Regions from separate parts of the Mus musculus genome. Here regions 1, 2, 4 and 5 are each reported to be linked to region 3. The links are microRNA targets in miRTarBase. Many come from high-throughput screens and were not tested one by one. Region 3 holds a microRNA gene; each other region holds the end of a gene's coding sequence. Distances are from middle to middle.
The links. Region 3 holds the annotated microRNA mmu-miR-144-3p (UACAGUAUAGAUGAUGUACU, at 3,727-3,746, opposite strand). A microRNA usually pairs through its seed, bases 2 to 8, with sites in the 3' UTR of a target mRNA and lowers its output. Matches are read on the target gene's strand: a 7mer-m8 pairs with bases 2 to 8, a 7mer-A1 pairs with bases 2 to 7 and ends in A, and an 8mer does both.

Region 1 (5,844 bases), not on the chromosome of region 3:
AGACACATAAATATTCACTGCTTCTTAATGCTATGAGAATAATTTGTGCTTAGTTTTTGGCATTAAGAAATGGTGCTGTTGCTGGGTGGTGGACACACCTTTAAACTAAGCACTTAGGCGGCAGAGAGGCAGGACAGTGAATTTGAAGCCAGCTTGGTTTATATTTGAGTTCTAGGCTAGGCAAGGTCTGTGTAGGGAGACCTTTGATCAAAAATCAAAACAAAAAAGAAATGGATGCTATTGTCTAAAGAATACAGTAGTGGCCACCTGGTCATGCTTCAGTGCCAGGCGTGTGGGCGACAGGGAGGAGCCTACATGTGAGGCTTAGATTGTGAGGTCAGTGAGGCGAGGGAGGAGCTGGCCCTGCTGAGTGACAGCTTTCCTTTCTTTTCATTTCCCATTTCAGGAAGGCTTTGTGATACCTGATGAAGGGGGCCCACAGGAGGAACAAGAAGAGTATTAAGCAGCCTGGACCAGCAGAGCAACATCCGAAGTCTTCACTCCAAATCATGTGCTTAACTGTTAATACTCCCTTTTATTAATCTTAGAGGATTCACTGGTTTCTTTTCATAAGCAAAAAGTACCTCTTCTTCAAAGTGCACTTTGCAGAAGTCTCACCTTTTCCGATGAGTTTGAGTTAGGAGCTTTTGCCTTGTAGCAGAGCAGTATTAACATCTAGTTGGTTTACCAGGGGAACAAGAGGCCAACCATGGGGCTCTTCATGTGGATGCTGGTCACACTGACTGATGGAGAAGGGGGTTTATAATACGAGAGGTGACAACCTCAGAAATGCAAAGACTGAATTGAATTCTAAGCTAATGTGAAATTCTGGCAGAGAACGTTTTAATAAATAAATGCCTTAAGAGTATTTAAAATATGCTTCCATATTTCAAAACATACAGTGTAACATGACAGGAGATTTTATGTGTCTGACATTGTGTCTGGGAAGGAAGGGCAGACTTTAGGCCCTTTGGAACCTGCTGTGTAGGCCTTTCAAGGCTGCTTGAATCTTATAGATGTCGACTTTGGCCCAGAAGTAAAGTTTGAAAAGTTCTGTAAAACCATTTTGTGTCAATGACCAGTTGCACCCCTGCTCTAAAAGCAAGCAGCATAGTTGCTTGTGTGACTAGAGGGCGTCTGGGCCCTGCAGTGCCTGAGGCGAAGAGCTCAGCTTCCCATCGAGCAGTCCTCTGGATCTTTTCAAACTCTCCCTCCAGTTCCTCTGTATTGTGTTTCTGGGACCTGCCCACGTCTCTGGGATTTGAATGGGGGTGGAGTCCCAGCACACTGTCTTTTAAGTTTACAGTTACACTTCTCTCTCTGCTCCCTGTGACCTCTGGAAACTCCTCTGGCTCCTTAAGTTTGCTGCTGAGCATTGTAATTACAGCAGGCAGGTGATCGTGCTGCAAGTTCTTGCTGGACCTCTGGCAAAGGAGTGATCAGTGAAGGCCAGTGTCACCTGTGCTCTGTGAGGCTAGGGTGCTCGCTGTCTGCTGGTCACTGCTCCCCATTGTCACCTGAGTACTTTGCCAGTGCACTAATCTCTTGGAGATAAAATTCTCTAGTGTGTTACTAAATGTTAAAATGTTTTTTTTTAAAGAATATACAGTACCGTGACTGAAATATTAATATTTAAAATACTTCATTCCTTAATTCTCCCTCAATTGCTTTACCCATAGCCTATTCAATTCCTTTGTTTGGCGAACTCTGCAAAATGTGTTACCCACTACTGAGATTGTTCAGCCCCTGATGTGTTTGTACTGATTTGTTTCTGGTGGTAGCTTGTCTTATGCTGTGTGTAGGAAACAGGTATTTTATGACAGAATGTTATGTAGTGCATGCTCTGTGGAATTCAGAGGAAAATCCAGGCTCAGTGATTAACAATGCCAAAAAAAGAAAAAAAAAAAACAAACAAAAAGCAAGTAACGAGCCATTGTTCAAACGACAGCGGTGCTGTTTCTCCTCTGTGGCCTTTCAGACTTCTGTTGCCCCCAAATTCCATTTTATTGGGAACCCATTTTCCACCTGGTCTTTCTTGACAGGGTTTTTTTCTACTTTAAACAGTTTTTAAATAAAATTCTGTATTTCAAGAGTGTCCTGTCTTCTGAAATGTGTCTTGCCTTGGGTATAAGCTTTTAATTCTAGAGGTAAGATAGCTATGCATCCATCTTTGGCTGAGCTTAGACAGAGGCTGAGAAATGATTCCCACCGTCTTAAATAGGACTAATCTTTTAAAATCCCTCACTTTTCTCAAGCTAACTAATCTGGCTCTCCCCTTCCTCTATCCTCCTTTCTCCTTCTCCCTTCCTTCCTCCCTCTTTTTCCTCTTCCTCCCTCCTTTTGGTTTTTAAGACAGAGCTTTTAGTATTGTTGTCCTGATTGGCCTCATATTTGTCACAGTCCTTCTTCCTCATTCTCTTGAAAGATTATGTGTGTGTGCCATCGTGCCTGGCTTAAAATTGCTTATTTTGAATTCTTTTTAAAAAAAAAAATCACATTACATTTTTCAGTCTTCTACTGCTTTAAATTCCTGTTACCCTGAGAAGGTTTTCCTCACAGAAACAGAAAGCCTGACCTAGTTGCTTAAGGCTCTTAGGAATGTAGTTGGCCGGTGTTTGGCAGATGATTTAATTGGAGGTAATTGTTTCATTGTCCTGAAAATGCATTTACAAAGTCAGTTAGTACACTCTTAAACTGGAGAGTAAAGTTGTTGCTTCTTAAAACTGTTCTATAAAGTCCTACACCTTTGAGAATGAGTTGAAAATATGATCCTCTCCTGTTGTTGTCTTGAAATGTTAAATAGGCAGAAAGGTAATTCATCTGCTCTTGAGAGTACCATGTACAGTACCCTGGCTGCTGTGGAAGTGATCTTGAGAGTACCACGTACAGTACTCTGGCTGCTGTGGAAGTGGGACTTAGTGATTTTTGTGACGTTTATATTCACTGCTGCCCCTGGAGGTTGATAATGATTCAATCCAGAATCATTACCAGTTTGGGGAATAATTTGGCACCATCTGCATTCATCATCTTTAAGAAGAAACCCTGAAGGGATGTATGTTGTGTGCTGTTAGCTGAGAAGTTATTAGGTAAGAGGTGAAGTGGAGACTGTATCCATTGACCTGGCTTAGCTGTATAAAGCCTTAATGTGACTAATTCAGGTTAGGAGGATGGTGCAGCCTGAACGTGCTGTTGGCAAGGTCTGTGGTATGTAGAGGAACAGGCTACTGCAGATAGGTTTGGATTCAGGATAGGTTCTTCAGGCCGAATTGATGTGATTGCTTCCCAATTTCTTGGGAGATTGGTGTAGAATGTTTAGAAGTTCATCCCCAGAAGTTCTTTTTTTTTGTTTTTGTTTCTGTTTTTTGAGACAGGGTTTCTCTGTATAGCCCTGGCTGTCCTGGAACTCACTCTGTAGACCAGGCTGGCCTCGAACTTAGAAATCCACCTGCCTCTGCCTCCCAAGGGCTGGGATTAAAGGCGTGCGCCACCACTGCCCGGCCCTGGAAGTTCTTGAGCTGGGAGATTATGAATCTGCATTTTAAGGCCCCTCAGGTGGCCTAGACCTGGGCCCTGCTTAGATGAAGCTTTAAGTCTTATCGTGTCAGTGAGACATCAGATGTGAGGGTTCTAATCCACCTCTTACTTTGCTTTATTTTGTTTTTTTCTTGTTTGCAAATCAAGGGCTCTGATGTTGGCTGAAGGGCCTCACACTCTGCATGTTTTTTAGAATCCGAGGAAACTAACAGGCCAAGTGCAGAAACTGTTGTCTGGAAACAGGAGACATTATTTCATGGCCAGAAGTTGTTATAGATTAGAAAAAAACGTAGAACATGTTTTTTATGCCCTAAAAATTCAGGGCACGACTTGGGTATTTTGGAAGTGAAGTGCTGAGTTCTTCATTGGCTCTCTCTCAGCTTGGTGGCTGGTGGCTGGTGGCATCCAGCTCCTCTGTGTTCAGGCAGCTTTCATCCTGCTGTTCCCAGGTGAAGGGCTAAACACATTCTGGATTTCGTGCAAATGAGGAATTGTTGACTCCCAGTTCACTGGCTTTAAAAAGACCATCCGTGATTCAAGAATTGCCCTCTAGGATGTGAAGTGAGGACAGAAGCGGTTTTCTTTTGCAGTAACCATGGGTCTCCTCAGGGGAGCTTTCCTTTAAAGGCTACAGCAGGGTTAGTGTGAGGAGCTTTTTGGGTGATTCCCCCTAATTCATGGTTTGCTTAGTTCACAAATCAGTCTGTGGGCTTTAAGCCTGGCAAGCCTGGCCAGATTAGCTTGCTAGTGTGTGTGTGACCCAAATCTCACCGTTGTCAGCAGGGAGAGTGAAAGGAAGTGCTCTCAGCAAGCTAACCGATAGCTTGTGATCATTGTTATTTTTCTGTTCTGTTACTTTCTGTGAGTGATGATGTCATACCTTTGAACTCTTCATAGGTCATAAAATTTCAAAACTGAACAAGATGATATTCATGTATCTTCATTATGTTCACTGCCTCTACATAGTGTTTGAGTTGTGTTCTAACAAGGTAGGAAGGATTTTCTCAAAGACCAGGAGGGTTCTGTGCTTTTACTGAACTGACTGACCCTTGACCTAGATGGCTTTAGTGCTACCTAGTTGTAACTTGTGAAGGCCAATGCTTTTCTCTCCTCTTTGATTTAATGTTCTTGTAGCTTAGGGGCTTTCTGGTCACATTGTTGCCAGGTAGCTTCATTAACTTGATTGCCTAGGTGAGTGGGTCTAACCTTAGAGACATTTCTAACCTCCTGAATCCAGAGCCTTAAATCTTCTTGTTGTTTTGAGGCAGAGTCTCATCTATTCCAGACTGGCCTTGAACCCACTATGTATATTCTAGGGTGATTTTGAATGAATGCTGGGATTATAGGCATGTTATACCATGCCCAACATCAAACCCAGGCCTTCATATCTGCTGAGCAAATATCAGCCAAGCCACATATTTAGTTAGCCCCATGAGTGTTGTTTTATTTTGAAAAATTGTAACTGCTTTTGAGGATGGTAAGCTATGTGGTTTATTTATTTTATTTTTATACAGACAGGTATAGATGCCAAGTATGTGTCACCTCACACCTCAGTAATTTATTTCATTTTTGAGAGGGTTTCACTATGTGGCTCTGGCTGACCTGGAACTTGTCATGCAGATTAGGCTGGCCTGGAGCTCACAAGTGCTGGGATCACAGGTGTGCACCATCATTCCTGGCTTGCATGTTAAAACAGCATTGGTGTTGCTGAATGTGAATGAAGAAGTATCTGTGAGGATCTGGGTCTGCTGTGGCTCCTGCCGGCCTGAGGGCCCTTTTGGTGATCAGCATGCCCTTGGATGAGATCATATTTTCAAAGGTATTCTCTAGGTTGTAATGTCTGAATCCTTTTCAAGTTGGCTTTGAACTTTTCCTGAATCACTATGCTGAGACTTATCTAGATTTTTCCTTCTATATGCTTTCCCACATAAAAAAAAAAAACTTGTTATTGATTATATTTTGACTCTTTTGAACTTTTTCCTAAAATGAATAGAATACACTGTAACTAAGTCCATTTCTCCTCCCACCCCATTTTTCTTCCAGATAAGGAGGAAATTATATCCTAGCATATTTTAGTTATGTTAAATACTGATAGTTTAGTCAGTGAAAATAGGATATAATTTTTAAAAACCCTACCATTAAGTTAGTGTGTGTCATGGGAAAATTAGAAACAGTCATAAAAATCAACTTTCTGTAGGAATAAAACCAAAAAAAAAAAGAAACATTAATTTTGTGGGTTTTTTTTTTACTGTAAAAAAATCTCTAGTTTCAGGCTGATGAGATGTCTCAGCAGGTAAAGGTGTGTGTTGT
Region 2 (5,955 bases), not on the chromosome of region 3:
ATAGGGTAGAAATAGTCCCATCACAAAAGTGAGAGGCTGAAATGAAGGTGCCACAGCTCACCCTCAGGAAGGCAAAACCATAATAAGCATTTCACTCCATTTTAGCACTTGGAATTAATCATCTTTGGGTTTGGGTTTGTCCTATTTTGCTCTTGATTTGGTAGTCCTCCACACTTCTGCCTCACCCCATGTCTCATCGCTGCCATCAGGGTCTTAGAATACCAAAGCATGCATGGTCTACTGAAGTAGGAGACTAGCCTGCCCTCTTAAACTGCAGAAGATATCTCAGCCTTCAAATTCAGGCTTCTTTACCTGAGAGCTCGGGCATGCCTGGAGCCACACAGTGCTCTTGGCATGTTGTGAAGGGATCCAGAGATTGAACCTTCCTGTCTTCACCCTGTCCTGGCTGCTTTCGTCCATGTTGGCAGCATTTTGCTTTATCCAGCTCTGCCTGGTATCCTCTCCAGTTCCCCAGTGTTTTTAATAAAGTTTCACTGGAGATTATCCAATTGCTTAGCAAGTCCTTCAGTTTGTCCTTGCGTGTGTGCGCAAGACACACACACACACACACACACACACACACTCACACACAGGATATTATAAGCAACATGAAGAAAACTGCACAGCATTTCTGAATATCTTTCCACCCAAGTTTTATCTTCCAAGTGTACCAAACATGATTGATTTTGCCACTTCCATTTTCTTTCTCCCTGTGTCCAGTAGTATGGTGTTTTTTTTTTCAGAGTCCTCACCAGGAGGACCTTATAGGCCATATTCTTCCTGTACTTTCTCTACCATAAAACACTTTTAGTTAAAAATTATTATCCGTTTCTCCATTTTTAAAGCTGTATTACAGTGGCTCCCAGCTTCTTGGCACTATAAATCTGTAAGACAGAACCAGGGGTGAGCGGATGGAGCTCCTGTTGGAAGGGATTGGCTCATCCAGAAATGGGATACAAAGCCAAAAGTTAGTCCAGGTCTCGTGGCGCAGACCTACAGGGCCAGGTACTCCAGGCTGTGGCAAGAGGAATGAGAGCACAGGAGCAGCTTTGATAGCCTCGTGAGACCTTACCTTAAAATACAAAGGGCAAAGAGAGATAGCCGATGGAGCTCGATGGTAGACTGCATATCTAGCAGGCATAAGACTCTTAAGTTTAATCTTCAGTACTAGAAAGAAAGAAAGAAAAGTGAATGCAGGAGAAGCCATTAGCATGGAATGAGGGAAAAACTGGAGCTTGTGTGCAAAGGCACCCTGCTGGCAGAACTTCCTCTTGCTCTACAGGGAGGTAGTCTTTGTTTCAGGTGTTGTCTGATTGGCTGTGGTCCAGCAGCCGAAGTGTTGATCTCAGTTAAAACTTGGTCACAGAGCTCCTTGAATGAATCCCTAGGTGGGGGTCATCCTACCACACTGACATAAAATCAACCACCATCGTCCTTACTGCAATTTTTATCTTGTCTAGGTCCCTTTGAAGTCAATCAGACATGTCAGCTTTCAAGATGAGGATGAGATTGTTAGAATAAATCCTCGAGATATCTTAATACGTCGATATGCAGACTACAGACATCCGGACATGTGGAAAAATGACTTGGAGAGAGATGATACTGACTCCAGTGTTCCATTTTCTAAACAAGACAGTAAAAAGTCAGACTATCTCTACCACTGTGGGGATGAGACTAAGTTAAGTTCTCTGAAAGACTCTGTGGTATTTAAGACACAGCCTCCCTCGTTAAAATTTAAGTCAAAACGAAGAAAAGAGGATGGGGAACGTTCTCGCTGCGTATACTGCCAGGAAAGGTTTAATCATGAAGAAAACGCCAGGGGGAAATGCCAGGACGCTCCAGATCCTGTTAAAAGATGCATATATCAAGTTAGCTGCATGCTCTGTGCTGAGAGCATGCTATATCATTGTATGTCAGACTCAGAGGGAGACTTTTCTGATCCTTGTTCGTGTGACACTAGCGATGACAAGTTCTGCCTAAGGTGGTTAGCCCTGGTAGCTCTGTCTTTCATTGTACCATGTATGTGCTGCTACGTCCCTTTGAGAATGTGCCATCGCTGTGGTGAGGCATGCGGGTGCTGTGGTGGGAAACATAAGGCTGCTGGGTGAAGCAGTCCAGGGCCGGCATGAGCTTAAACCTTCATCTCCAGGAATTAGCTAACTTGGATTTGTGGAAGCTGTTGGCAAGCAATATGGAATCTTGCCGGTATCATTGGGGCCATGCGTGGAGGAAGCAGAACTCATCAGTTCTTGTGATTTACAGATGCTAGCCGTGCCTGTTTCCCTGAGTGCATGGCATGTTCTGGGACAGATCACAGAGCATTTTCAGAAGGCAGTCATTTCTGGTTATTGATTACAAAAGGTCAACATAGAATAGGATCCAACTAAAAGGGATTAATTTTGGCATTTTCATATTTATGCACTAGGTGATGGGACTTTTTAAAGATTTGAATTCTTTAGGACATTAACTAAAAAGTGCACTAAGGGACAGTGATTTCAGTACAGAAAAGTTAGTACTTGGGAAATTAAGAGATAAGACAAGTGCAACTAAATCATTGGTTGTTTTTTGAAAGCAGTTTTATGTATAAATAACAAATGTTTATATTTAACTAAATGTAAGGTACGAACTATGACATATTAAACTTTTCTTGCCCTTCCTAGTTCTGAGGTAGATGTGCACATATCTGCCACCACATTCCATATGTGTTGAGTAGTTAACTCATCTAGTTAATAACGTTTGTGTCCATGTGAGAGATTCGGTGAGTTCATCCTCAGCTCTCTTGGGCTGCAGTTTATATTGAGTCATATCTGTACATTCTGGAGATCTAAAATCTTTAAAATACTCTAATAGCCTTGAGTGACCAACCTTTTTTTTTAAAGCACAGATGTAATTGTCTAATGTTCTGATGGAAATGTAACACTTATTTTTATATAAAGAGATTGAGTAAACAGAAGAAATTGAGGGTTCCTTTAGTTGTTTTGTTTCTGTGGTATTCAGCCAGCAAGTTGTTTTCTTTCAGAGTTTCCTCCTTCAGAGAACTTAACTGCATTTATAAACGTTTTACAAGGCAGAAGCATTAACTGGATAGTTAGTGTGAAACAGTTTCCGCTTGAGATCTCCATTTCTCACTCTGCTGAGCCAGAACTCGCACAGCTGTTTCACTGATTTTCTGTGCTTATTACTCACATAACAATGGTAATTAATACCTTTCAGTTGCATTTTATTATATTTCAGGAGCAAAGTTACTTTGCAGTAACACATATGCAGAATTCTCCCAGGAAAGTATTCAATCCACCATTGTGAATGGAAATCTTATACACCACATTCCTGTCGCAGAGCATTTGTATTATGGGATGTTTGATTTACAAAGTAGTGTGATATGCTCCAGCAAACAGGTTAAAAATACTTTGAGGTCAAATTGTCTTGGTTTTGTTTTTTTAAAGTGTTACTATTAAAACTCTTGTGAGGGATTGTTGCAAAATACTCCCTCAGGAAAGAAAGCAGTGTGCCTTTTTTGCCTTTTTTTTTTAATGGATTAAAGTTTCTGAAGTGATAAAAATGAAAATCACACTACCATTTGAAGTCCATTCTCCAGGTTTTCAGTGTCATTTCTGTGCAGTCAGTTTTATGTGTCACACTTCGGCTTGTGTTGGCTTTCTTCTTTTGCCCCAGATTAAACTGAACAATGTATATATATATAACACTATCTGTCTGTAAAATACTTTTTTTAAGAAAGCATTTATATTTATATGACAGCTTGAACTGACAACATTATGTATATAGATCATCTTGAAGTATTATTTCACATTGAAAAGAAGAAAAATATATTGATAACTATAGATGTTATGAAGAAGAGGCTATTTCTAGTTTTGTACTAAAAATCAATTGGATGAACTAAATCCAAAACCAGACACTGTCGCAGCAATTTTCAGTCTTATTTTTACTGTTTCTACATTGGAGGCTGCTGCACAGATAGATGATCTTCGTCCTTGCTGTTTTCAGAGGAGCTTGGTTTCCTAGAGCAGACTGTTACCTTTCAGGATTCCTTTTTCTTGCTGAAGTAGAGTCCTGGTTTTCCTTATGAGTGATTATCCATATTTGTAAGTTCTGGGTTTGTAATTCAGGTTGGAGCAAGGTGTGAATAACTAAAGAAAATAACTTGCTGGCAATATAGGAAATGCCATGGAAATAAACTGTGTATATACTTCTGAGAAGAACAAAATTAATCATTTTTTTTTTCTGTTAAGCACTAGTCACTATAGTGCATCTCCTGGTTCTGTACTGTATTTTATACGCAACGTACATGCTTTAATATTTTAATGTTTGTGCATTAATATTTTCAGTTTGTTTAACCACTTTGCTGCTAAGATTTTGCCATCCCGTTCCCATTTTTTCCTTTACAATTTTAAACATTTCTCTTCATTAAAAACTATGATAATGAAATTGTTTTTTTTTTAACCTTGGATTTTTGTAATTAGCACACATGAATTCAAGCCAGTCCAGAAAAGAAACTGATGATATAATGTTAATGAGTCTCTTTGTGAATTAGATGGACAGTTTAATCCAATTCCCAACATGTACGTGTAGGTGGATTCAAGAATGATTTCTTGTTCACTGTACAGATTGGGCGCTGCCATTGGGCATTTTCTTTAAAACTTCTCTTTTGTCTAGAATGTAAGCAGATAGCTCAACAAAACTGGTGAAGTAAAAGTAAATATTGAAAATGAAATCATCTGAATAGCGTGACCCAAAAATTCTCCAGCTGGGGGGCCTGTTTGCTCCTGATCTGTAGTTCTCAGAGGATGCTTGCAGCCTGTGGGGAAGCCTTAGATTTCCTGAGCAGTGCTTGCGGAGCTGCAGTGCCACCTGCTGGATGGCTTTAGACCAGCGCTGAAAGATGGAAATGGTGTCTCCAGTAAAGGAGGGCTGTGGGCTGTTCAGGGTGGCCAGTGCCCACCAGAGAAATCGGGGGTGAGGAAAAGCGCTAAGGAGTGTAAGTAAGTCTTTCCCCAAATGCATATGGTTGCTGGAAGAATTGAAGCACTTTTTCCTTACACATCCTGTTTTAAAATATTTATTGAAACTTGGAACTGGCAATCAAACTTATGTATGTACTGAAGCATTTATACAACCAGTTTCTTCAACTCAGAAGCCATTACCAAAATGGTATTCCTATTTTCTTCCCAGTACCAGTCAGGGAGAATTAAAAAAAAAATAAACATAATTACCTGTATTTTATCATGACAACTCCAGAGAGTGTGTATGTTTCTGAGTAGATGTTGATGAGGCAGGACTTAAAATTTAAAGAGAAAAACTTGAAACTACCTATTTTCATTGGTTATTCAGCAGTGCCTAAAATGAGCTTCTGAACTATTACAAATGCACTTTGGATTCATGTGTACAGTGCCATCTGGTTCTCTGGGTCAAACTTGCTTCTCCTCTCCCTCTTTCTTCTCCCGTAACTAAGTGGCACACAGGCATTTCTTAGTGTTCGTGTCGGTCTTCAAAGTGCAGAGAACGTGGTGGAGAGAATTTTATGGATCTTTTTTTTCTGTTAAAATTGAATGTCTGATTATATTTGCAACATGTAACTTGGATTAATGTGTTTTAAAGTAATTTTAATTGTAGTCCAGCAGCACATTGAGCAAGTGTAGCTTTTCTGAAAAGTAACTTGGAGAACTTCAGTTAACCGATAAAACCAACTCATCACTAAATGTCGCTGCTCTTCCTCTTGATTTGATCTAGATCCCACTTCTGCGTCTTACAGGGAACACCAAAAAGTTGCTAGTAAATGATAGTAGAGAAATAGAGGGAGTCAAACAGAAAATATTAAAAATATGCGCACACAGACAAACAGAGGTGATTTATACAAACCAGAATGAAGGTGGGGAGGGAAGGAAAATTACAGGGGGCTTTAAAAGGTACCAGTTACCTAGCAGCTGGGCAATTAGAAAC
Region 3 (5,955 bases):
CCTTGGCAAAGTAAAAAAGTTAAAAAATAAAAAGCCTCTTGTGACTCAAACTCACTTTGTAGACCAGGCCAGCCTCGAACTCAGAGATCTGCCTGCCTCTGCCTCCCAAGTGGAGTGCTGGGATTAAAGGCGTGCACCACCACGCCCGGCTTTCTTTTTTCTTTTTTTTTTTTTAAAGATTTATTTATTTATTATATGTAAGTACACTGTAGCTGTCTTCAGACACACTAGAAAAGGGTGTCAGATCTTGTTACGGATGGTTGTGAGCCACCATGTGGTTGCTGGGATTTGAACTCATGACCTTCTGAAGAGCAGTCAGTGCTCTTATCCACTGAGCTATCTCACCAGCCTGACTCTGCAAATTCTTGTTAGAATCCTTGAATACTTACCTAATATGAGTAAAGCCCTGGACTGAATCCTAAGACTTAAAGTGTGTGTGGCCCTTTTCTCCACTAGTCCATTAAAAATCTTTTCTTTTTTGGGGGGGCGGTGTGGGTATCTTTCTGATTCTAGATTCTGCTTGACACACCTGGCATCATCAGTCCTGTTAAACAGAAGAGGTATTAGCTATGGGGACACATGCTTGTGTGTTTGTTGGGGGAGGGGTGATTTTTTTAAAAAGAGGAGAAAAGGGGGAGGGGATATTTGTTCATAGGAGCTGGAAGTTTTCCCTTTTATCTACCATTCCTCATAAGAACTGACCAGTCATAAGCCTTCCTGACTGATACATTTGTTCTTTAGGCACCATCTGGAGCGCTCTTTGCTGGAAGATCCATGGACGAGCATGGAATCTGCTGATCTTGGTTAGACTCAAACTAAAGATCTGAAGCCCTATTAATGGGGCCTTTCATTCCTGGGAGTTTGGGAGCCGAGGTCTGGCTGGGGCCCGTAGCCAGGAACTTGTCGTGGGTCAGGAGGAAGGTTACAGATATCCTTTTGTCTGTCTGCCACCTTCTAGTTGTAGTTCTTGTGGATGTGTCAGACAAGTGGACCAGGAGTCGGCTCAACCCCCAGGTGCTGCAGTGCTTGACCAAGTTCTCTCAGGTCCCTAGCATCCTCGTCTTAAACAAGGTAAGGACTGCCCACGTGAGAGAGTTTTCCTTCCAGAGTCCCATGGCTCTCACCATGCACTTTGTTCATCCCGCATGTCCAGGTAGATTGCCTGAAGCAGAAGTCAGTTCTCCTGGAGCTGACAGCAGCCCTCACTGAAGGTGTTGTCAATGGCAAGAAGCTTAATATCAAGCAGGCCTTGCGCTCACGCTCCAGCACCCACTGCCCTGGCCCTGAAACTGAGGGCCCAAATGCACACTCAGTGAGGAACCCTCAGAGAATTGGCTGGCCCTACTTCCAGGAGATCTTCATGTTATCAGCACTAAACAACAAGGATGTGAACACATTGAAGGTCAGTTAGCCTTGCCCATAATCCACCACTTCTACCATGTTACGATAGGCCTCATCCAGACCAGCCTGATATCCACCGAGATCCTGTCTTTTAAAAGACAAAACAAAACTCTGGCTCTGGTCATTTATGTTTGTAATCCCCGAATTTGAAAGGCCAAGGCAAGAGAATCAGGATTTCAAGGTCATTTTTAACCACATAGTGAATTCAAGAATAGCTTCAGTTACAATGAGACCCTGTCTCAGGAAACAGAAAACAGCCAGGGGTGGTGGCACACAGCTGTTATCCCAGCACTCAGGAGGCAGAGGTAGAAGGATTACTCAGTTTGAGGTCAACCTGGTTTCCATTGTGAGTTCTAGGCCAGCCAAGCAACATAGAGACCAGAAACAAAGTTAGGAATGTATCTCAGTTGGTAGAATGCTTGTCTCGTGTGCTGGATTCAGTATCTAGCCCCACATAAGCTGGACACACACGTGGGTGCACACCTGCTACTATAGCATTTAGGAGATAGAGACAGGAAGATTGGAGGCTCATTCCCAGCCTGGACAAACGAGGATGGACAAGGCCAGCTTGATCTGCCTGAGATGCTCTCTTAAAGGTGTTTCAGTCAGTTGTGGCAGCTCGCCCCTGTAGTCAGCTACTATGTAGTAATTTTAAGGTCAGCTTGGGCTACATGAGGATGGGTCATAGCCTTTTCCTCCTAGAAGCATGCATAAACAAATGTTCTGATGGGGGTTAAGAACCTACTCTTCCTTTGTTCCCACAGCAATACCTTCTGACACAGGCCCAGCCAGGACCCTGGGAGTTCCACAGTGGTGTGCTCACTAGCCAGACACCCGAAGAGATCTGTGCCAATAAAATCAGAGAGAAGCTCTTAGAGTACCTGCCTGAGGAGGTGCCCTACGGTGTGCAGCAGGTGTGGGCAGAGGAAAAGGACACAGTGCCTGTATACCAGGCACACCCCTGGAACAGTTGGGTACCAAGAGATACAGAGATGAGCCTGCCTGATTAGTCCTGATGTCTCCTTATACAGAAGACAGTGATATGGGAGGAAGGACCAAGTGGAGAGCTAGTGATCCAACAGAACCTTCTGGTGCCCAAAGAATCTCATGTGGTAAGTGAGGGATGCTCAGAGAAGGGTAGCAGTGTTACCCATGGCCTCTTCCCCATCTGTGAGGCCAAGAGCAGAACCATGTGCCTCTCTTTTCACTACTTGCAGAGGATCCTGATTGGTCAGAAGGGCCTCTTGATCTCCCAGATTGCACAGGAGGTGGGCCGGGACCTCATGGACATCTTCCACTGTGACGTTCTCATCCGCCTCTCTGTGAAACTCCTCAAATGACCATCCTCTGTTGCTTCTCCCAGTGGATCCCTGCTCAAGCTGCTGGCAGAGTCACTGACTAGAACTACCCCTGTCAGAGGGGTCTACAGGACTGGGAAGGGCCATGGACACTGACTGGTTTCCATTGTGAGGGACCCATAGCTACAGCTGCATATGTAGCAGAGGATGGCCTAGTCGGTCGGTCATCAATGGGAGGAGAGGCCCTTGGTCCTGTGAAGGTCCTGTGCCAGCCAGCCTGGCATTGCCGAGTCTGCACAGTGCTTGCCCAACCATGTTTCCACTTAGCTCAGTTCTCGGGGCGTTCCTCTGCCTAGGGTCTCAGTCAGTTGTATAGGATACATGCTGAACCACACCCTAGAACCCATGGTTCTAAGTCATGTCCACCCCGCTAGCATTGGAACCAAACTCTTGCCCTGAGTTTCCAGTTGTTGGTAGGAACACAATTTTTCTCTTCTCCCCCAAGTTCCTCACCTTGAAGTTGCATAAGGACCCGTGTTTCCTTTTTCTTTTATTATTATTATTATTTTTTTTTTTGAGACCGGGTTCTTACCCTACAACTCTGACTGGCTGGCTATCTCTACATAGATCAGGCTAGCTTTAAACTCACAAAGGTCCTCCCATCCCATCCAACCACCCAGCCTCGGATGCTAATAAAGTTAAATGACAAGTGCTCTTATTCTTATCTTTTATTTCTTTGGCACAGTGAAGAGGAAAATGTACCCTTTCCCCCAACCCCATTCTCTTGTCAGCCTGGGTGTCCTTTTCTTCCAGCAGTCTGCTCCAGGGTCATGAGCTCTTCTTGGCACAGTTTGTGGGAGCAGCAAGAGAACCGTTACCATTACTAAACTCAGTAATGGTAACGGTTTCCTCGCCATTCCCAAGTGCCACAGCTGTCAGCAGGCTTGATTAGGCCGAGCAGTGAGCCCGTGTACTTCTGCATCTCTGCTGCAAACCAGGCAGGCTCTGGAGGTGGGGTACCCAGACTAGTACATCATCTATACTGTAGTGTCTCATCACAAACTTACAGTATATGATGATATCCCAGCCAAGGTCCTGGAGGAGGAGGTGAGCAGCAGGCCTGGAGTGAGCCAGGGGATTGGCTCAGGGTCAGTCAGGGACACCTAAGTCCCTACCTCTGCTCCTCCACTTCCCTCCCAGAGCAGCATCTCCCTGATCCTGTGGTCCAGGATAACCCCAGGTGGCTTAGAGAAGGAAGCTAAGGTCTACTCGGGTCTCTTAGGGATCCAGAGTTACAGGCAGAAACGAAGTTGTGAGGCAGGAGCTTCCCTCTGGGCAGACCTATAAGCAGGCTGACAGCCACTCCAAGGACTGCTTACCTGGAGCTGGAGTGGAGCTGGAGCCTCGTCCAGGGAATCCTCTGCACAGGGAGAGCCTGCCTTGTCTCTTCTCACTCAAGCAGCTTGGCTTTTAACCCTCTGGCCCCTCCCCTGGGTGGGGCACGTTTTCCCGGGTTCTAGAAGTCCCTGCTTCTTAACTCTTTGCCTGCTGGCTTCCTGAGACAAGCTGAGGCTTGGCTCCCTTTTTGTTTATCTTCTGCTTAGTTTCCTGTGCTGGGAATGAAACTGAAGGCTGAAGATGCTAGCCAAGAACCCCAACACTGACACTACACCGCCACCCTGCCTCCCGTCTTCTAAGTGGGTGACCATTCACCCCCAACCCCACAAAGAAGGTTACCTGCCTACCCCACTGGGCTAGGAAAGAGAAAGACCCTCACCACGTCCTTCAGGGCTTAGTTGTTCGGGCCTCGCTGAAAGGTCCCAGTTTGTTGTGGGTGATGATGGGAATGTTAGTTGAATCTGAATAGGACAGGGAGGTCCTGGCAACTGGACCTAGATGGAATCTATCTGGGAGCAGGCTCCATGTACCCTCAGCCTGACTCCATCCCTAGGCTTTGACTCTGTTTGAGCTGGGTGGGCAGAGCTGAAGCTTGCAAGCCACCTCTGGCAAGGTCCGTGGACAAGTGGGCCTCTGCTGGGAAGCTGAGGAGCACCTCAGCCCCCAGGCCTTGTGGGAGCCAGTGTAAGGGCCGGGGCATTTCATCAGAGCTCAAGACACAATGAGAGCCTGATATGTTTGGGTCTCTCCCTGTGGAGAAGCAGAAACTTGTGCTGAGACACTCCCCACAGCTGAGCCTCTGCTATTTAGACCCTCATTCTGGGGGATGTTCCGCCCCCTTTCTTATCCTAGACAGTCTGGTCTGTTTCTTCCTTTGAGGGTGGGGGGTGAGGGGTGGTGAATGGGAGTGGGAGGAGAGACCTAACCTTCGGTTCTGTGGAGGTGTCTATTTCCAGCATTGCTCCACCTCTGCCATGCCTGATCTCCCCTCACCTAGTTAGCACTGTCAGGTCCCTAAGTGTCCCTGCCACAGGGACGCTTCTCTATCTATTCACTCTTTAATTTATTTATTTATTTTTTTTGGTTTGGTTTTTCCAGACAGGGTTTCTCTGTATAGCCCTGGCTGTCCTGGAACTCACTTTGTAGACCAGGCTGGCCTCGAACTCAGAAATCCGCCTGCCTCTGCCTCCCGAGTGCTAGGATTAAAGGCGTGCGCCACCACGCCCGGCCTTTAATTTTCTTTAAAGACACATCTTATGTAGGTATGAGTGACAGTGCTTTTATTATTGTTTCTTTGTTTTGTCCTGAGAAAGGATCTCACTGTGTATCCCTGGATGGCCTGGAACTTTGTATGTAGCCCAGGCTGGCCTGGAACTTAGAGATCTGGCAGCCTCTGCCTCCTGAGTGCTTGGGTTAGAGGTGTGCAATATCTTGCCATGGTCTCCTTTTATTACTGAAACAGAATCTCATGTGGCCTCACATTCTATTTTCCTTTGTTTGTGAAGATGGGCTTTCTCTGTAGACTTGTGTCCTGAAACTATAAACCAGGCTGGCCTTGAACTCACAGAGATCTGCCTGCCTCTGCCTCTGATTGCTGGGGGTAAAGGCCTGTGCTATCACCACCTGCTCAAATTCCATTTGTAACTGAGGATGGCACTGAACTTCTGAGCTTCCTGTGTCTGATTACTGAGTGCAAGGGCTGCAGGCCTTCACCACTATGCCAGGTTTCTTCAGTGCTGAGAATGGACCCAGAGCCTTACGGCTGTGAGCAAGCATTGGAACAACTCCACTGCACCTCCGCCCTCTGCCCCTCTTTTCACTTTCTGTTTTGGGTTGCTCAGGCTGACATTGAAGCTAA
Region 4 (5,955 bases), 48 Mb from region 3:
TATGGTCTTGGCCCACCAGCTCTGGCATTGGTGTCTTCCCTTTGTGGTGACACTTCTGCTTAGTAGCAATACCTCAGTGACTAGCATCACTCTGAGGTCACATGAATGAGGTAACAAGGCTAAGGGGAGCACCTCATACATGCACTATCAGCTAACACTTGTAAATGCTGGTTACAGCCAAAGTGGCAAAGGCACTTCTCTTGGTTGGGCTTTGAGTGCTAGGGGCCCTCCAGCCCCAGAACCCAAGGACAGTATCAGGGCTCTTCTTCCTTCTCCCTTACAACCATGTTAAATGTCTTAATTTAAGTGAACAGGTTCTATTCCCAAATTTAAATCCTTCCCCTCCCGGGGAATGTAGGACATTCTGCCTCCTTCCAGCCTTTTTTTGGAAGACCTTATTTCCAAACTTGCTTCTAGTGGCTCAACATTGCCACTGTCCAGCCCATCTCTGCTGAAACACAATGAACAGAGCACGCCAAGGAGCAGGCACAGGTCAAACAAGCAAGCAAGATTCCTCTCTATTCTTAACTCTAGGCTCTTCCTGCCTAGTGTTTTTCTTGCTGATCCTTTGGCAGGTGTGGTGATTTGAATAGGAATGGCCCTCACAGTCATGTGTTTGAATGCTTGTCTCAAAAGAAGTGGCACTATTAGGAGGTGTGGACTTGGAGGAAATGTGTCACGGTGAGGGCAAGCTTTGAAGTCTCCTACACTTAAGCTATGCCCAGTGTGGCAGTCCTGTGGATCAAGATGTAGAACTCTCAACTCCTGGGCTCAGAGGTTAGGAACATTGGGTGTTCTTCTGGAGATCCTGAGTTCAATTCCCAGCAACTAAATGGTGGCTCATAATGAGATCTGGTAACCTCTTTTGGCATGTAGGCATACAGGTAGGCAGAACTTTACATACATAATATATAATTTTAAAACAAAACAAAAACACCCTCTCAACTCATTCTCTAGCACCATGTCTACCTGCATGCCATCATGTTTCCTGCAATGACGAACAATAACAGACTAAACCTCTGAAACTGTAAGCCAGCTCCAAGTAAATGTTTTCCTTTATAATAAGAGTTGTTGTGGTCATGGTGGCTCTTCATAGCAAGAAAACCTTAACTAAGACGGGGATTTTGCTAAGGTGTAAACTTAAAAGATTTATGTGTATGTATGTATGTATATATGCCAGCATTTATGTATGTGCACCACATGTATGCCTGGTGCCTGTGGAAACCAGAAAACAGTGTTCCATCTCCTGGAATTATAGCTACTGCTGGCTGGATCTGAGAAGCCAGAGGTGTGGGTGCTGGGAACCTAACCTGGGTCCTCTGCAAGAACAGCCAAGTGCTCTTAACTGTTCAGCTGTCTCTGCAGCTTGACATGGAAATGTGTACCACCCCACATTAGCTTTTTGCTGTTGACCTATAGGTATATCTGAAGTATTCCTCTACCAACTTCTGGAGCAGTGAGCTTTGCAGATTGTACCTTAAGAACAATAAGAACAGGGCCCCTTTGAAGCCCTTCCTATTTAGTAACCAGTGTCTTCTCTCCCAAGTCAGTTGTGGACGGAAAATAAAGGGGGAATATTAGGATGCTACTTGGGAAGCAGAGGCAAAGAGATCTCTAAGTTTGAGGGCAGCCTGGACTACAGAGTGAGTTCCAGGACAGCCAGAGGACGGCTTAAGTATGTTAGCAAACATGTTCAAAAGCAAAGTACTACCAGGTAGACAGAACTTGAGTTATATACAGTGGTGTTCACCTCTGAAATCTAGACCCTCCTGAGGTCAAGAGAGGTTGGAGCACATAGCAAGGAGTGTGGCACTTATACCCCTGAGCACTGTTTCCTGGAGTGGCTGGCACATAGAGGGTGCTTGGCATAAGTAATTGGAGATATTTGACATGGTGCTGGTAGGAATCCTAGTTTAACCATCCTGGTCTCAAAGAGCAGAAGGTAAGGTGTAAACTAAGATAAAATGATCACATGTGCACAGGAACAAGGCCATAACAAAAAAAGAAAGATGTGGCAGGGACGTTTAACAGCTGGCAGCCAGAAAGCACCTGATTTATGCACAAAATACTGGCTTCAATCCACACTCTTTATGCCATCTTCATTAAGTGGATAGGACAGTGCCCTTAAAATCTAAGCCATTCTTACACTAAATTCTCAGCACTCCTAATGCTGTGGCCCTTTAACATAGTTTCTCATGTTGTAGGAACCCCAACCCTAACATTATTTTGTTGCTATTTCATAACTGTAATTTTGCTGTTATTAATCATAATATAAGTATCTGATACGCATATCTCATTTCTTGACCCAGAGGTCGAGAACCACTACCTTAGATGAAGACTCTGGGTGGGAGATTTTAAACAGTGAGCAACAGATTTCCCTCAGAAAATTATGCTTGGGGAATAAAAGAAGTAATTCACTAAAACAATCTAAAATGGCAACTCCACTCTTGAGCAGATGCTCCTGGGAAATGAACTGTGTGTGCTAGGATTTGGCCTCAGTGCCTTGTGGAAATCTCCCTCCTACCCAGACACCCCAAAGAGAAAGTTTTTGTGTCTGGGTAAGATGAAATGGCCTTTTAAAAGAATTAGTTTCAGGAACCTGCAAGCATTCCTCTGCCTCCATTCCCACTTGAGATACAGTGGGTCTCCAAAGTGTAACCAATTCTCAAAGGGAGAAGTGAAGGCCAAATGGAAACGTTCACAAGCCTTTTGCCTCTATGGCCCCATCATATCCATCCACCCTCGAGGGTGTGTGGGGACAGGGACACAATAAACCAGGGCTCAGCAAAGTCCTGAGTGCAGAACCACCTTTGCCTAGTGCTTTTTGCTGAGGCCTTGACCAGTAAACCTTGACTGCTAGATTTGAAACCTTGACTGCTAGATTTGAAAGATACCACAACCAAGATAGCCTCTGACTGTCCACCTCAGAAGTCCTAAGCACTAGGAAGCCCTGTGGCAAACTTGACATTGAGGAAGACTCAATGAACACTACCATAGCCATGTCCAGTTTTTGCATATTACCAAGAATGGCTTTTGTTCTGTAAGGGAAGACAGCCTTCCTTTGTCTATAGTATTTATTATTATCCCTTGTTCTTTTTCATGAAACATTTGCCTCTCCTTGTGCAGGTCTTAAGGCTATAAGACATGAAAAGTATCACCATTCACCACGCCTATTCATTCTTCATTTGTTACAGCTTCCAAGGCCAACACACACACACACACACACACACACACACACACACACACACACACACACACACACACACACACACTCACACTCACACACTTTGCAAATTCCCTATTAGGCATGCTTGGACAGGGAAGGAAAAACACCGGCTAGTCATAGGCTAGATTTAAAAGCATTTAATGACATAGCATATATTTAACAGGGCAAAAGTTGAGAGGTACAGGTCGTATGATGGAGCACCAGGCCTGAGCGCCCACTCTCTGTCCAAGCTCAGACTCTGGAGGTCATTACTATAGATGCCATTTTGATTGTGCAGTAAGATGAAAATTTGTTATTACAATAGTTACAGTGACAGAGAAATGCACACTATGTATCAAATAGCAGGGTAATGAAGCAAATTATAACAGTGTGGCCACGCACAAGCAAGTAACCATTAGAGTAACATTACTTTGTCCAGTAAATGCTTCAGTTCCACTTATACACTTAGCAATGATTTAAAGGGTTTATTATACATCTAGTTTATTATACTTTGTACTAGAATTATCTCAAACATACAATATAATGTATTTCAGAAAAAAAGAGACTGAAATTACAGATTATTTAAAACCTTATCAATTTTCTATTCTTTCTTGTATACCAACATTCTGAACTGTCACAGCAATTGATGCAGAAAAGCCACATGTTGTGTGTTAGTAAGTGATGCCGGATACAAATGGTTTGGCCTGTAGGTTTACATGGAGCTGCACTGTGGCTGCAGCAAGAGATCAGAATACATGATCTGTTTAATAAAGGCTACACCCATCGTGGGCATTTGTAAGTCAAGACTCAGGGTAACCACGGAAGTGAAGGGAGAGTAGTGTCAGGAAATCGGTCCATCGTCTCTGGAGAGCACAGGAAATATTGTGTAAGCACCACTGCCTTGCATACCAACAGCATCAGAGGCGGGTTATTTCCAACACAGCCTCACAAAATTGAGGAACAGTTTAAATACTGAGATCTAATCTATATAATTTCATTAAAAAAATCTGGCCTTCCCTCTGTACCTCAAACTTTTTAAACTTGGAGATAAAGTGTTTAGGTATGGTTCCCCCACCCCTCAGAAATACTCTATAAATTAAAAAATTTATTTCAAAAATAAAAAAAAAAGAAAAGAAAAAAAATCAACTACATGGAGGAACATTAGGCACAGAGTAATGTGTTGGTCGGAACTTGCATGCTGGACTCTTACTAAAGGTAAGAGAAGGGCGGGACAACAGGGAAGTTCACTTCTTCTTGCCGAAAAGGCTGAACCTCTTCTCTTTGTCTTTCTCTTTATCCTTCTCCCTCTTGCCAGGACTGGACTCGCTGGTGATGGTGACGACGCTGGTGGGTAAGGTCTGCGCCCGACTGGATGCTGGCGTACTCTGGGTGCTGGCAGATGTGTCGTGTTTGTCAGAGGAGATGGCAGAGGAGATAGCCTGGATCCATGTGTTCATTTCCTCCTAGATAGAGGAAGGGACACAGGTTAAGACTTGGTCAAGAGGGGCGGGCATGAGGAGTTGGTCTTACCTCCATGACGATCCAAGCCTGACAGCTAGAAGGCTCAGCAGCAGTGCCTCTAGGGTCACTGTCCTTAAATGCTTATCTACATTCTCAATACCACAGAGGATATGGCTTAGCCCCTCAGATGGGCCCACTGCTCTGCACCCGCAGACCATTACTCTGGGATGTAGTCCTACATACCTACAAGAGCTACAGGACTAGACTAAGGCTGTGAGATATCACTCTCATTCTAGAAAGTGTTTTTCCTCCCTAAATTAAAAAAATGTTTTCATGTGTGTATGTGTGTGTGTAGACACGTAAGTTCATGCTCATCAGAAGACAATTTTTCAGAGTTGATTTTCTCTTTATATAAAGTATGTCCTGGGGATCAAACTCAAGTCATCAGACTGGATGGCAGGCCCTTTACCAACTAAGCCATCTTACACGTCCCCACGCCCTTTTCCAGAGTTACCTCTCCTGGTGGAAGGGGCCTTTTAAAATGTAAATTGCTGCACATGTTATGATCACTGAGGTGACCCTCTCTTCTCCAAGGAGGTGAGGCTAATGGTAATGGAGTACAGTGTAGAGGCTTTGGACTGGGCATCAGGACATATACTCAGACTTGGGCCACCTCTCTGTGCCTTGCTCTAAGGAGCAGCAGGCAAGGGCCTTCCTTGCTCCTAGTTTCCAGTGAATCTAGTGGATGTTGCTCTAGTTTCCCTCCTTTAATGAGGAACATGATGATATTTTCTTCTTTTAGTCTAGTGTTGGTGGCTATGAAGACCAGACAGTTGAACACCTCACAAATACTTCCATGAGCTTTGGTATCTGAGAAAACAAAACCCAGTAGTAACTTACATCATCTTTGGCTTGGAAGAGGTACTCGTTTCCATCACTTAGTCTGTAATTTCAAGAAAATTACATTTTATAATTATGTAGGTAACAATTTCATATTAGAAAGTTAAAAAATATAAATTAAAAATACAGGCCAGGTATGGTGGTGTACATCTTTAATTCCAGTACTCCGGAGGCAGAGGTAGGTGGATCTCTGTGAGTTTGAGGCAAGCCTGGTCTATAGCTTGATTTTCAAAATAGCCAGGCACAGAGGAACTTTGTCTCAAAAAGCAAAACAGAACAAACAAAACAAAACAAACCCAAACCAAACCAACCAAACAAAACCCCATGATCCCCTTATCTAGGGTGGGTCACAAGCAGGCCATGGGTTTACCTCAGAGATGTCAATAGAG
Region 5 (5,955 bases), not on the chromosome of region 3:
GTATTATGGTGGATGTTGGGGCTCAGACCTGCTTCAGAGTCCAGAAGGCAGATGAACACACTTCAGACAGATTGAGAAGCAGTTTTTCTTTTCCTACGAGCCAGTTGTCATTCATCATCAGAGAAGTTGCTGGGTCCTGAGAAGGGCCCCGTGGCCATCATATATAGGCAGTGTACAAGGCACACTGATGGTCCTGAGTCCAAGTTACAGATTGGCATCCAGCTCTACCCACTGGTAGAAACTCCAAGAGGGCCAGGACCCCAGTGGCTCCTGGGAGTTTCCAATGGCCTGCTAGTCACTGAGGCCACTGTTCACATCTGCATCTCAACAGAAAGGAAACTCCACCTAACTCCACCTACTGCAAAATGTATCTATCCCCATTTCCACCCAACAGAGTGTCACTGAGACACATTCCAGGGACCACAGAGTTGCAGGTGGTTAAGTTATTGCCTGGGAAGTTTTAATTTTGATCAGCTAAAATTACAAAACCTGTCACCTGTGTGCAAATGCAGATTATGTCCATAGACACCTACAAGGTACTTGAGTTGCAGGTAACTGCAGAGGATGTAATCTCTTATCCAGGAACCTGGTGTGTGTGTGTAAGGGAGAGAGAGAGAAAGGGAGGGAGGGAGGGAGGGGGAGAGAGAGAGAAAGAGAGAGCGAGAGCGCTCTCCAGGGACACAAATACAGGGAATCAGACATGGGTTTCTGAGGTCCTTGTAGGGGATGGTGCCACAACAGTTCCATCTTTGTGCAGTCACTGGCCCTCAGGGTAGTGTTGAGTGCAGGGAGACAGATTCCTGGAGGCCCGGAGCTTCCAGGCCTTAGCAAGACAGTCTTGGCCTCCTAAGTGCTTCGTGGAGGGAGGTACATGGGATAACTAGAAGTAAGCTTTAGTAGAAGAAAACTGATGATCACACATGGTAGGAAATTTTCAGATCACTCCTGAGGTCTAGTTGTTGAATTATGAGGAAGCAGCTCAGCGATGGTTGGCAGAGCAACCAGGTTGAGGCAGGGCAATGCAAGGGTAGTGGGATCCCCTACGACCTGGGGTGACTGTGGAACACTGCAGCCCTTGGGGATTCAATGATCATGAGCCCATGAGTCCTTGCAGGTTAGGATGGACATAAGCAGCCCAGGATGCCTGGTCAGCATGCAGCTGGAAGACTGCAAGGATCCCATGGAGACCATGGGGGTAGGGAATGGAATGTGAGCTTCGGGGAAGGTAACTCTGGCCTGGCAGATGAACAGTAAGATGCTTTTACTCTACTGAAGTATCGCTGGCAAGAGCAGGCCCTGTGCTCTGTGGCCCAAAATGGAGAGCTTATTGACTGACAAGGTTAAGTGTTGGCAGGGTTGTACATAGACGAGGAGCCACCTCTGGAGACAGAATAGGGGCCACATGGGCCTTGGTGCCAGAGGACTAGGCTTTCTAGGTCTCACCTTCACCATGGACATGCTCCGGTGACCTGTAAGTCTCCCTGTCAAGCAGTTAGTCTCCACTGTTGATAAAGGAACAAAAGATACATCTACACTCCCATGGGGGTGGGCAGAGGTACCATAAAATGGTACCACTGATATTGAACTTGGAGACAAGAATGGGCTATGTGACACAATAATCACCTCACACAGGGGCAAGATAAGGGTAAAACTGCAGGCGCACTAAACCTTGAGTACGGAAAAAAGTGTTAACTATTTCCTACCCACTGACAAATCACGTGCTTTTGTCTCTTGATGGAATTCTCCACAGTGACATATGACTGTCTAAAGGACATCACAAGACAGTTTCTCCAAAATTTTATTTTAATTTAAATTACAGGGCCAGCCAGATATTCTGATAAGAAATTCACTTTTCCTCAGGAGAAAGGAAACACTTTCATGTCATTAACAATTGTATACATCTCCCACTTTTTTTAAGGGTTAAAAAAAAAAAAATCACATTAAGTAACTGCCTTAAGTAAAATTAACCCTTTATAACACCAAAGAAACCACACCCAGGATAATCGTTCTGGTAATAGGAACCTAGAAAGTGATCACACTTTAAATGCAACTTTTCAATCTTGAATGTTTTCACATTGTTCTGTTTAAAAACAATCCAGAAAGCCTTCTCAGCCCTCAGCTTCCAATGTGTGAGTGACAGTTCCCTGACACACTGCATCCCATCTTCCACAGCAAGACTCTAGCACCGCTCTCTGTGTTAGCCCAAGTGGAAACTGTTCTGTTGTCTCAAGTTCTAAGAGCTAGCTTGGCAAAGAGACACTCCTTCCACTTGGTGAAATGGCCACTCTGTCACCAAATCCTGACTCACAACGCGGTGGCAAGGACTGGGTCACTTAGCACAGCTGAGTCTGCACACTACCCAGCTGAGAATGTCCTTGTCCAGAAGCCTGAATGCTTTCTCTATCTCTACTAGAGACCATCAACTATACACGCACGCACATGGGTAAAGAGAGCCTTGGAAACCCTTTACTGTAGACTGCCATTTAGATGAAATAGAACAGACCTATATTTTCTGGAGTGGTTTTTCTGACTTGTATTCCTTGAAGGAAACCTTAAAACCTGCTAAAACGTCAGCTAGGAGGCTCCTTTTACTGGCCAATGAATAATTCAGTTAGTAAGAGAGGCTAACAAAGAATAATTATGTAAATTTTTTTAGTCAGCTACAGCCATGCTGAATTGGATCGGGCAAACTCTGATTTTAAGTTGTTAGTTGTGATCCGTGTGTCACTAAGACAGACAGACACCATTCTAGTAACTTTATGTAGATACAGTCTAGGAGACATTGTTCTGCTGTGGTCACAGTCACAAAAAGTGGTGCAAAATCGGTTACTTTATAAATACTGATCATCTGCAGCATTAAGGAAAAGGACATTAAACCCATCCATCTCTCCCAGGACATCAGGACCAGGGCTCTTCTTTCCCTTAGAGAAGCCAAAGTTAGAATTATTCAGTTACTCGGCTACTGTACTGGATATTACTCTAAGAAAGAAACGGTGCTCTATAGGAGGTCCCTCACAAACAAAACAAAACAAAACAAAAAAACCAGCATTATTTAGCATAATCTGTATCATTCATAGATATGGCAACCTTAGGACTCATTTTAAATGAATAAGGCCAATATTCTGCAAGAATATGTAGCAGACAGAGTTCCAGGTATGTAGTTCTGCCTGCCAACGGCGCCCCATTGGGTAACTGAATACAAGGGATTGGTTCTTTTTCTTTTAATGCTGTGATCCTTAAATGTTAAAATCAGCATTTTCATGTAATCTCAAGTATTTCAATTACATATGAGCATTCTTTTTTTTGTTTTTTGTTTGTTGCAAAACTCAGGTAATAGTTACATACTACTACAATAACATTCCTCTGCTGTACAAATTAAACGATTTAAAAGAAATGAGCATTCTAAGAATTATATACAAAAGAAACCTGTAAGCAGTGTTGAAATGAAACATAAGGTGTTGCTGCTAGCTCTACTGTTTTAAAACACCTTCAAAAGTAAAATTAAAACACCCTTCAACCTATCCAGGTTTACAAGTTTCAAGAAAATCAAATGTCACAAAGTTCTAGAAAGCTGTGAAAAAGCATATATACACTTTCTTATGACCTTATGAAGCTCCACACTTGACAAGTTGCTAAGCTTCAGTATCAATTTATTTGCACACCAACTTTATCCTCCCCAAAGCTCACACTGGATACAGTTCTCCAACAATCCCTGTATGCGCCATCTTCCTTCGGCAGAGATGGTGGGTATGCCCGTGCCATACTGCACAGACCTGCAGAGAGCAGTGCCGATGGACGGGCAGGTGTCAGCGATGTATCACCGTCTTTTCCCTAGACCACTCTCACTCTCATTTGCTTTCATGAACCCAGCCATGTTCAGAACTCCTGTAGCAAATGGAGTCTGTGAGTTCTGAAATGACACAGAGATCAAGGGAAAGAAAGACCACGTGCGCTCTAATGTGCAAGCAGCAGCAGCTACGTTCTCCAACCTGGACTGAAAAACAAAAAGGTAAAATGAAAAACCGTTCACTTAACAGCAGATTAGCAGTAGTGCTCCCCATGAACCGATGAGAGTGCCTGATGCTGAGGAGCTGACAGCCAGTGCTGAGCTTGGATGGGACCGGGGCTGAGTAGACACTAGGCTTCCTGCTGGGCGGCTCTCTTCAAATCCCTGATCTGCTTGACTAAGTAGGTCTTCTCGTCGTTGAACTGCTCGTCCTCGGTCCTGTCGTTCTGAAACTTGCTGAGGAACTCGATGAGCTTGGTCTGGTTCTTGAGGAGGATGTCTAGGATGGGCTGCGTCTTGTTGGGGTTGGCCACAAACACCTGTAGAAGAGAACACCACGCCAGTCACAAAGACATCAGTGTCCATCCAGCAAGCTCCTGGGCAGGCAGGGACCAGGGGTTTTTCTTTAGAAGAACTTACTTTTATATGATAGTGAGGGTAATAATAATGACTACATGTTTAGCACAAAGATTGCCAAGTCATTCTGCCAACCCTGAAACACAGCACTTAGGACTAAATATCGACTTTGACTTTTAGAATCAAATTATTTCTGGGCATAAGAGGTCAGACTGAAATTTAAGAGGATCCCCCCCGCCCCCCCAGGAAAGCATTAAAACTACCTCTGGCTTTGCACCAGCCCTCACTGAATCTGCAGAAAGAGTGAAGGGGAGGGTGGGGGAGAAGGGCAGCAGGGGTCGTGTTTGTCTCCAACTATCTTCTGTGCAAGCTGAAGAGAGTAACACCCTCTCTGACTATACTTTCCCATCCCATTCTCTTGTACAAGGGCACAGCCCATTTCCATCCAGGTCCCGCTTCTGTTAAACATTCTGACTGAACTGAGTTATCACTTTGGTTACCAAAACAGGCACTAGTTTAGTAACTGCAGTGACCAGTTTCAGAAGCTGGCACCGGTGCCCGGGCGGGCGGCTCACCTTGAACACGTGGAAGGCCTCGAACTGGATGTTGCGGCTCTTGTCTCGGAGGAGGTTCATCATTAGCTTGAGGTTCTCAGGCTTGCTGATGTACTTTGTCATAATTGTGAAGTTGTGTCTGTCCAACAGCAGCTCACCCAGAAGCTGAGAAGACATAGACCATTACTCTTAAATTATTAAAACTTAAAGCAAATAAAAAAAAATTAAACAACCCATTTGATAGTCATCACTTGATGGTAGAAGAGACTAGTTTCAAAACACAGCAACAAAAATAAAAATGGACAATGTAACAAACTACCACTACCCAAAAGAAGGAAAGGGTACTAGGAAGTTCTGATTATTAACATTAAGTAATCTCTTTCCTGTTTTAAACTCTATTTAGCAGGACTTGCTTTCCGGGATGAAGGGTGTTTACCTAAGCACAAGCTAAGTGCTTCATCTTCTCACACCGGCCTCACTGACTCTTCGGCAGTGGTTCCTCAAGACAGCCCTGATGGTAAGAAACCAAGCAGGGAGCTGAAGGCACTTTCACCGGCCTCAGCGCTTCCACGTAAACTCAGTGTTTACTCAGTTACTGCTTAGCTGGGACTTTTCCTCCAGGTTGCTCTTGCACCAGGCTCTAGCTGAGGCTGTGTAGCAGCTACATACACTGCTGGGAGCAGGCATTATCCTTGTGGATAGTTGAGAGCATGCCCTGGTGCCAGCCTGCCTGGGTTCAGCTCTGTAGCCTTGAGTGGCATATTCCCCTTTGGTGTCTCTACCTTATATGTGGGCATACAGACCACCACCATACCCTGAACCCTGAAAACAAAACAACCCAACCACGCCCAAATCACAAATGTACTTTTTCCTAAAGGTCTACAACCAACACCCAATTCTCCAAGTTCAAGTCACAAATACAAAATGAAGAGAAATGAATGACATGAAAAAGAGAATGTGCCATACCTTCAGTGACTGTCTCTTTGTCACATAATTTTCTGAATGAAGTAGCTTTTCATATTCACTGAAAAACTAGGA

Region 1: miRTarBase lists Mapre1 as a target of mmu-miR-144-3p. Seed matches in the 3' UTR shown: 7mer-A1 at 5,781-5,787.
Region 2: the mRNA of Spred1 is a reported target of mmu-miR-144-3p. Seed matches in the 3' UTR shown: 7mer-A1 at 4,280-4,286.
Region 4: the mRNA of Sptbn1 is a reported target of mmu-miR-144-3p. The part of its 3' UTR that is shown has no 7-base or 8-base seed match.
Region 5: miRTarBase lists Cab39 as a target of mmu-miR-144-3p. The part of its 3' UTR that is shown has no 7-base or 8-base seed match.

What each region holds. Positions count from the first base shown.
Region 1 is chr2:153,766,468-153,772,311 of GRCm38, forward strand. It overlaps Mapre1 (microtubule-associated protein, RP/EB family, member 1), which reads left to right. Exons shown (of 7, transcript NM_007896.3): 7 at 407-5,844. The coding sequence ends at 463. Among named protein-coding and RNA genes, the nearest start is that of Efcab8, 9.9 kb to the right of the region's middle.
Region 2 is chr2:117,175,842-117,181,796 of GRCm38, forward strand. It overlaps Spred1 (sprouty protein with EVH-1 domain 1, related sequence), which reads left to right. Exons shown (of 7, transcript NM_033524.3): 7 at 1,461-5,955. The coding sequence ends at 2,108. Among named protein-coding and RNA genes, the nearest start is that of Mir674, 6.3 kb to the right of the region's middle.
Region 3 is chr11:78,070,838-78,076,792 of GRCm38, reverse strand. It overlaps Mir144 (microRNA 144), which reads right to left and starts at 3,788; the gene lies at 3,723-3,788. Eral1 (Era (G-protein)-like 1 (E. coli)) reads left to right here. Exons shown (of 10, transcript NM_022313.2): 4 at 514-560; 5 at 742-803; 6 at 959-1,071; 7 at 1,154-1,402; 8 at 2,166-2,315; 9 at 2,433-2,513; 10 at 2,619-3,417. The coding sequence ends at 2,741. It overlaps Mir451b (microRNA 451b), which reads left to right and starts at 3,552; the gene lies at 3,552-3,623. It overlaps Mir451a (microRNA 451a), which reads right to left and starts at 3,623; the gene lies at 3,552-3,623.
Region 4 is chr11:30,096,047-30,102,001 of GRCm38, forward strand. It overlaps Sptbn1 (spectrin beta, non-erythrocytic 1), which reads right to left. Exons shown (of 35, transcript NM_175836.2): 34 at 5,567-5,609; 35 at 3,349-4,668. The coding sequence ends at 4,450. Among named protein-coding and RNA genes, the nearest start is that of Eml6, 73 kb to the left of the region's middle.
Region 5 is chr1:85,847,404-85,853,358 of GRCm38, reverse strand. It overlaps Cab39 (calcium binding protein 39), which reads right to left. Exons shown (of 9, transcript NM_133781.5): 7 at 5,884-5,949; 8 at 4,939-5,082; 9 at 1,782-4,326. The coding sequence ends at 4,138. Among named protein-coding and RNA genes, the nearest start is that of Itm2c, 44 kb to the left of the region's middle.